2 linked regions of the Mus musculus genome follow. Each later gene encodes a partner of the first gene's protein in a complex. Links are inferred from orthologs where the notes say so. Each region holds a gene or a part of one and is shown on either strand. Other genes may lie near its edges.

The links.
Region 2: the proteins of Anxa11 (region 1) and Tardbp are in contact, whole or in part, in a cryo-EM structure (PDB 9FOR), measured with the Homo sapiens proteins. The link is inferred for Mus musculus from reciprocal best matches to the Homo sapiens genes ANXA11 and TARDBP. Residues at the interface, in NP_001148.1 of Homo sapiens: Gly56, Met57, Ala59, Met61, Ser62, Gly63, Phe65, Asn69, Pro71, Asn72, Leu73; in NP_031401.1 of Homo sapiens: Ala328, Leu330, Ser332, Trp334, Gly335, Met337, Gly338, Met339, Ala341, Ser342, Gln343.

Annotation. Positions count from the first base shown.
Region 1 is NC_000080.6:25,869,403-25,873,207, reverse strand, and holds part of Anxa11 (annexin A11), read right to left. Parts: intron 3,140-3,805; coding exon 3,027-3,139; intron 697-3,026; coding exon 310-696; intron 1-309. UniProt on the Homo sapiens protein: Binds specifically to calcyclin in a calcium-dependent manner. Required for midbody formation and completion of the terminal phase of cytokinesis.
Region 2 is NC_000070.6:148,623,899-148,628,448, reverse strand, and holds the start of Tardbp (TAR DNA-binding protein 43), read left to right. Parts: upstream 1-1,452; 5' UTR 1,453-1,768; intron 1,769-3,072; 5' UTR 3,073-3,086; coding exon 3,087-3,324; intron 3,325-4,550. UniProt on the Homo sapiens protein: RNA-binding protein that is involved in various steps of RNA biogenesis and processing.

The sequences.
Region 1 (3,805 bases):
GGAGGAGCTGCCAATCTTCCCTATCCAGAGAGGATTCTGAGACTCCTTCACATTTGTCTAGGAAGTCACAGAAGGGGCCTACTGGGCATGAGGCCATGATGCTGGAAGCCTCTGGAGTAATCTCACGGAAGAGCAACCACCAGGGCTGTGCTTCCAGACCTTGTGTGTTTGCCTTCGGTGGGCACACAAGAGAAATTAGAGCTCTTTTGTATGTTGTAGCTGGAGGCCTGAGCCTTCCCTTCAATCCTCTAAGAACTTGTTGGCTAGACCAGAGATCTGTGCTTGAACGCAGTTTGGACAAGCACTTACCTGGGCTGGTGGCACAGCAGGGGTGATGGTACTAGATCCCGAGTATCCTGGGTAACTTGGCACTGGCTGCTGCCCAGGGGGTGGCATTGGTGACTGCCCAGGATAGGTCATTGGAGGCTGCCCAGGATAGGCCCCTGGGGGCTGCTGCCCAGTGGGTGGCATAGGCTGGCCTGGCACAGGGGCCCCTGGGTAGGCTGGATATGAAGGCATCCCAGGAGGTGGGTTTCCTCCTGGGGGCGGATACATTCCATAAGGAGGGACAGGCTGCTGGGCAGGAGGGGGCTGCCCAAAGCCACCAGGAGGGACTGGAGGATAGCCACCCCCAGGAGCCCCAGGATACAGATTTGGCACGTTGGCTCCTCCAAATGTTCCAGACATGTTGGCTGCCTGCCAAGTACACAAAACAGAGCCTGAGAAACATAGGCCCAGAAAGACAGCACCTTGTCTGTTTACCCTTCCCTTATAGAGTTCTGCAATGGCTCTAGGCAGGGAGCCTCCTACAGAACCGCCCCCCACCACTCCCCCAGCACTATGTATACCTAGCAATAGATGCAGGCATCACAATGCTAGGCTCAGCACACAATGCTAGGCTCAGGCTTGCTGCCACCCCACTATGGGACAAGAAGGACAATCTGGCCACTGATGATGGTACACTGGCTCAGTGTATGCAGGGCAGCTGGGCTCTGACATGGACTCTGCATGTGAACCAGAACTTCTAATCTGTCCCTTCTGCAAGAAGCATGGGAACCTGAAAGAGGAAGCTACTTCTTCCAACCAAGAGCCACTAACTAGGTAGAGCTAACCACTCAAAGACCCAGAAAGTACAGGGGTTCCTTCTGCAGGCATGAGGTGGCCCTGTCACACCAGTCTGCTAACAGTCAGTCAAGGTGAGGTAGGTGAGGCCCGGCACATGCCCAGAACAAAAGCCTGAATCCTCACCTCAGCCTCTTATGCCACTGAGAAATGGGTCCCAATATCTTCATCCCTCACCCTACCTATCCCTCACGTCCCCTCTTTAATGACCAAGGCCTGCTCACTGTCCCCAAGGTCATCAGGTCCACGGCACCTTAAGGACTGGCCATCCCTAGAAATTTGCATAGTACATTTCTCTACCATGTCAGATCTTTGTTTGAGGTCTCCTCCTCCTCCTCCTCCTCCTCCTCCTCCTCCTCCTCCTCCTCCTCCACAACAACAACAACAACAACTTTTCGAGACAGGGTTTCTCTGTGTAGCCCTGGCTGTTCTGGAACCTGCTCTGTAGACCAGGCTGCCCCTGAACTCCCAAGTGCTGGGATTAAAGGTGTGCACCACTACCACCTGGCTCAGGGTCCCTTTCCAGTCCCCACCAGCACCTCTGAACCTCTCCTGTATTATTACTGTCCTGTCCATCCCTCCCGCCCTGGGCTGGGGCTTGAGTTTATGGCCTCACATATTCTAGGTAAGCACTCTACTACTAACAGTACATCCCCATTCTCTTTCTGCTTCTTTTTCTTTTCCTTTTCCTTTTCTTTTTCTTTTCTCCTTTTTATTTTGAGACAATGTCTAAGTTGTCCAGGGAGGCCTTGAACTCACTTTGTAGCCCAAACAGGTCATGAACTTGGGATCCTCCTGCTTCAGTTTTCCAAGAAGCTAAGGTTAGAGGCCTATGCTATCAGGGCCGTGTATCTACTTTCCTAGCTTCTTGCTCTTCTCTCCCTCCCTCAACCACCTCTGCCCTTCCCTCGAAGACCGGGCCTCTCTATGTTGCCCAGGCTGAGTTTGAAGTCTTCATCTTCACAGATTCACCTACCAAATGTTAAGCATTTGCTGTGATGCCCAGAAGTGCCTGCCACTGATCAGTATTGTCACCTGCTAACTTACATCATGTCCTGTCTCCTTGACACAGATGCTAAGTGTGCCTGGACTGAGATTTGTGTGTGCGCAGATGCATGTGGAGACAGAAGTCCTCCTTTTTTGGCACAGTATTTATCACTGGTCATGGAATCACCATGTAGGCTAGACTGGCTAGTCAGCCAGTCCAATGGATCTGCCAGTCTCTGCCTCCCTAGCACTGGGATTACAAGGACAACGCCTGCCTTTGTACACATGGGTCCTGGGAACTGCACTCGGCCTAATGCTGGTATGGAATAAGCACCTTAGACCTGGCTATCTCTCTAGCCCAGGGGTTTTGTTTGCTGCACTCACATATTCCCAGCACCTAGAACTGGGCCTTGGCATAAATTTGGGTACCTTCTAGTAGCAGTGTTTCCCCTAAACACACATTTGGTTTCCGATTATAAAATAACATCCTTTAAAAAGCAAAACAACAAATAAAAGCATGTACATTCTAACCTACCTGCTTCACGGCACCAAGACCCAACCAGAACAGCCTTGTACGTGCTCGCCCCCGCAGCTCTCCACACATATGCTCACCTCCCTGCAGGCTTCGTGCTCAGCTCATGAGAAATTCCCAATAAACTTCCTGCAGGCACCAGCCTAACCCAATCTCCTCGGACCTGAGAGACCTTCAGTGCCAAGAATCTCTTCCTCTAATATAGATGGGGGGAGGGGGGAGCCAGAGTAGGGTGGGTGTTAAGTAGATGACCTCATATTCTAAGTTGCTGCTCAGCATTCTATGCTCACAGAAACAGGCATGAGGTCTCCCTGAGAACTTGGGGTAAGCAGCCTTGATCCCTATAGCCCTGGCCCAGGGATACCTTGGCAGGGGCCTGACTTACCATGCCTGAGAGGTAGTCCTGGTTGAACTGCCCCGCATAGTTGGCTACGTTATCCAGCCCGATAGGGGGCATGCTGGGAGGAGGGTAGCCAGCACCTCCCCAGGGACCACCACCTGAAAGCAACACCAAGCCATTATTAGCTCTGTATCCCTGGCCCACTGACAGAACAGAAAAGAGGGCTGCAGAGGGGCTGCTGTGATAACCAAGGAAGACCAGCATCCAGCCAATGTTATAAAGACCCAGAAAGAATGGAACAAGAGGGCCAGGGAAAGCAGAGGAAGAAGGCAGGTCCAGCCCCAGTGGGGAGTCAGGCATGCTTTGTCCTCTCAAAGCCAGCACCACTGGGTGAGAGGACAGATCCATCCTTAGGCTCTGTGCGGAGCTGAGCATGTGACAGCCATGGACTCCAGGAATGCTGAGGATTCTCAGATGGAGAGAAATGAAGCCACGTCAGAGGGCAGGGACACTGTGAAGGACGGTATCAAGGAGCCCGTTGGGAGACCACATGGCTGGCTGTGTGTCCTGGGGCAAGGCTCTGAACCACTCATTCATGTCTGCAGAAGTGTGACCTCCAGCTGCTGAGGTAAGGGCTGAGGAGTTGACATGTGATGTCACAGACGGCAGTGTTTTTGCTGAAGAGGGGACTGAGGTCACTACTGCCAGATCAGAGAAAGGTCTAGCTTGGCTAGATATGCTCTGTGACAGTGATCAAGGTACTTCCCTGGTCCGTTTGTTCGTTTCTGCTGGATTCCCTCAATGGTAACTATCTTTGCAGTGCA
Region 2 (4,550 bases), on another chromosome or scaffold:
AAAAAAAAAAAATGCAATCATCCTTTTAAACTACTGTTAAAGTTCTTGACTTTTCCAGGCATGGTAGCACAGGTCTGTAATCCCGGACAGTCAGGAGGCCAGGCCCAGGCTCTGCTGTATGAAACCTTGTCTTAGGAGACAAACAAAAAACCATTTTGGTGACTCACACCTGTAATCCCAACACTGAAGGCGCAGATTCAGGAAAGGCATAGCAAATCTGAGGCCAGCCTGGTCTACACAGTAAGTTCTAAGCCAGCCAAAGACTACGCAGAAATCCTGTTTTGTTTGTTTGTTTGTTAAGTTCAAAACCAAAAAGTAAATAATGCTGGGTGGAAGGACTCATGCCTATAATCCCAGCACTCAGATGGTTGAGGCAGGAGGACAGGCCAGGAGTTCCTGGCCAGCCTGGGCTCTAATGGAAGTTAGGGGCTAGACATTAACATCTGTTCTTCCAATGCCATCTTCTTACAAGGTAGCTGTGAGGAGGAAATGAATTCATTTATAAACTTAAAGTGGGAAGGCTTGGCCTGATGGTGATCTGCAATCCTACCCCATTCCTCCCAGAAGGGAGGCAGAGGCAGGAGGAACCCAGCAAGCTCAAGGCCAGCCTGTTCTGTACAGCAAGACCCAGTTTCAGTAAATAAAGCAACTGTGTAAAACCTTTGTGCCTAAGCTTTGAATCTGATACACCAAGAAATTCCAACCCTGAGTAAAGAGTCTACATCTGCTGCTTGGTGGTAGAGCTAGCCTTCAGCCTTTTTAAAGTTATACTAGGACTCGTCAACTGGAACCGAAATACTGAAACATCCAAGTAGTTTTTTGCTGTAGGATTCAGACCCTAGTGGGGCCTCTTTCTCATGGTGACTTCATGCAAGGTACTCAACTCTGTGCCTCAGTTTCTTCACTTATTGAAAGAGGAGAGAGTATCACGACTATCGTGTAGACTGCTAGGGCAGCATCCACACTTGGCAGCCTTGATGAGTTAAAGGACAGCCTGGGCTACACAGTGACTTTGAGATCCCTGTCTCTAAAACAGTATCTGATGGCTAAGCCCAAGGTCAATGGGAAGACACTTGCCTGCCATTCACAAGATTCTGGTTTGTTTTTCTCCCCCTAGAGCCAGAGAGTGCTAAAAGGTACTTGATACAAAATAGTACTTAGAACAGGGACCATTTTGCAGATCAAAGTTAATGTTTCCACGTTGGAAATTAACGAGCAAAGGCAGAAGACATTTAAGAGTCGCCTTTAGACTAGGAACCCAGGGTTCCCAGGGATTCCCCCCCAAGCCCTTACGCGTTCAGTCGCAGGCTCCGCCCCCTTTCCCTCCTAGCCCCGCCCCTGCCGCCCCAGTCCCGGCCTGCGCTAGTCTCGCGCATTCTCGGCGCGCGCGAGCTCCTCGACTAGGGCCGGCCGTTGGTCAGGCGAAGCCATCTACCGCGTTACGTAGGGGGACTCGGAAGGCCGAGTGGCCGTTCTGTCCTTCATCTGTCAGTTTTTCAGACCCAGCTGTTTTCATTGTTGCGTTTCTTTACTTTTTTCTATACGCCGAAGAGCCTGCTAGCATCCGAGCCTCTGGGAGGAGAGAGCGCCTGTGGCTTCCCTCGGAGAGCGCCCCTCCTGCAGGGAAGCCAGTGGGAGAGGCCGAAGGCGGGCGAGGGCGGGAGGCGGCCCTAGCGCCATTTTGTGGGCACGGAGCGGTAGCGCGGCTGTTGTCGGATTCCTTCCCGTCTGTGCTTCCTCCTTGTGCTTCCTAGCAGTGGCCTAGCGGGTAGGTTGGTCGCCAAGGCCGGCCTGCGTGCCTCGAGTGTTGCTTCGGAGAGGCCCGGTGCGGCCTGCGCCGCGGGGAGGGAGCGGTAGAGCGGGGCCTGGTTGGCCTCGCGCAGCCGCGTCGTTAAGGCCTAAGCGCGGGCAGTAGCCGGAGCGGGACGCCGGGCCTCTGCTTGGCTGTGAAGCCACGGGCGGAAGTGTGTGGCCGCCCCGGGTTTCCAGGCGTCCTAGTCCCTGTAGATTGTCGCTTTTGAGAATAACTGTTGTCACCATGGGACTTGGACCTCCGCGGGCCCCACCCTGGGCCCAGTTGAAAGGGGGGGAAAATCATCAACGTTGTCTGTCGCGCACGGCCTTCTGGGAAGCGGCGGCCTACCTCCCGGAGTAGCCGTCGTTGCTCCCTCGACGCCTAACTTTAGCCAGACCTTTCCGAGGATGAGCACCAGAACTGCTAGATAACTGTTCTGATGTCGGTGTTCGTGCTCCACCAGCACAGGGAGGGTTCCTCAGATCCCAATGCTTGGCTGGTTTTTTCCACGTTAAAGCACGTGCTAAACCCGATTCAGGTCCAGGCTATAGAAGAAACTTAATTCAGAATGGTTACGAAATACGGTAGCCTGTAATCTGTGCGCTCCAGGTAAGAAATGACGAGTGCAAGAAAAAAAATCGGGGCAGATACTTAGTTCTTTAACACCTTGTTTTTGTCTGGCTTTGTAGCCAACGGGCCACATGGTAACACTGTTGCCATTTTAGCACCGGAAGCTTATAGTGTGCGCTGAGAAAATAGAACTGGCGGGCAGAGCGCCACATGAACACCGGTTTTCCCTGTGGCTGCCCCGGAACTCAGTAGACTAGGCCAGCCTCGAACTCAAAAAGATCTGCCTGCCTCAAGAGTGCTGAGATTAAAGGCGTGGGTTATCGTGCTCGACAAAAATCACATTTTTTTTTAAAGATTTATTTTATTAATATATGTAAGTACACTGTAGCTGTCTTCAGACACTCCAGAAGAGGGAGTCAGATCTTGTTGCGGATGGTTGTGAGCCACCATGTGGTTGCTGGGATTTGAACTCTGGACCTTCTGAAGAGCAGTCGGGTGCTCTTACCCACTGAGCCATCTCAACAGCCCCCAAAATCACATTTTTATTTTAGAAAATACCTTTTCTCTATTTTTTTTTCAGGGATGGCAAAAGAAACATTTTAGGTAGCAGGAATCTTTTCAGGAAGTGGGAATAAAGTGGTGTGATAATAGCCAATTATGAAAAGATAACTCCTCTGATTTTCTTGCTCATTTCTTTTTCCTTTAAGAGATTTAAGCAAAGATGTCTGAATATATTCGGGTAACAGAAGATGAGAACGATGAACCCATTGAAATACCATCAGAAGACGATGGGACGGTGTTGCTGTCCACAGTTACAGCCCAGTTTCCAGGGGCATGCGGCCTGCGCTACCGGAATCCCGTGTCTCAGTGTATGAGAGGAGTCCGACTGGTGGAAGGAATTCTGCATGCCCCAGATGCTGGCTGGGGCAATCTGGTATATGTTGTCAACTATCCCAAAGGTTTGTTAATCATTTTGGTTTTGCTGTATTGCTGGCCATGGTTAGACTTCCGTGCCATCTTAATTTAAGTGAGACTATAATATCCAGGGCTTCATGTGTGCTGGGAGAATAGTCTATTGTTGAGCTCCAACTTGAGGGTTTGGTCGTTATGGAGGAATGTTTCCTATGACCCTAACTTTTTCATAAACTTTGTTTAGACTTAGACTACTCTGGCAGGTCAGCAGTTTAAGTAAATGGAAATTGAAAAGCAGGATTCTTTTTTTGAGGAGCATGAATTTAAATGTGAAGCTGGCAGAACATGGTCATTGCTAATTTTAGGTGGTGAAACCTAAATGCCTTAAAGATGCATCTGTTTTGTAAAAGAATTTGGCTTTTTGAAACGGGGTTTTTCAGTCTTTTGGGTTGTTTTGTTTTTGGTTTTGTTTTGTTTTTTCTCTCTTCCCCTTCCCGAGACAGGGTTTCTCTGTATAGCCCTGACTGTCCTGGAACTCACCCTGTAGATCAGGCTGGCCTCGAACTCAGAAATCCACCTGCCTCTGCCTCCCAAGTGCTAGGTTTGAAGGTGTGCACCACCACTGCCCAGCTTTTCCTTGCAGCCTCAAAAATCATCTTTGTCTCATCGTTTTTTGGATTTTCGAGACAGGGTTTCTCTGTGTGTCGTCCTGGCGTATCATCCTTTTAAGATTTGTGTTTTATTAAAGATTTATATCTTATGTGTTATTAATGTTTTGTATGTGTGTCTCTACACTGTGTGTGCACCTGGTGCAAAAGGGCATTCAACCTTCTGAAACTAAAACTGTATGGTTGTGAGCTGCTGCGTGGGTGCTGACACCCAAACCCTGATCTCAGAAGACCGAAAACACGACAGATGCTTTTAACGCCAGTGTTCTTACTCCATCTCTTCTTTTTCCCTCCTCAAAAAATACCAACTGCGCTAGCCCAAGTCTTGAGTTAGGGCAGAGCTACCTGAGATTTTTCTCCCTCTCTTACTATGGACGTTCTTGAAAGTTTGAGAAAGCTGGGTCTGTGGTGCACGTCTTTGATTCCAGCACTCAAGGGGGCAGAAGCAAGTGGATCTCAGAGATTGGGGATAGCCAGGACTACAACAAAGGGAGACCCTGGGTTGGGGACACTGGTGTTGGTTAGGCGTGTTGGCACATACTTCAAAGACTGGTAGTGGTGGTAAAGTGAGGTGCTGTGTTGGAATGAACAGGGGCTGAAGGTTA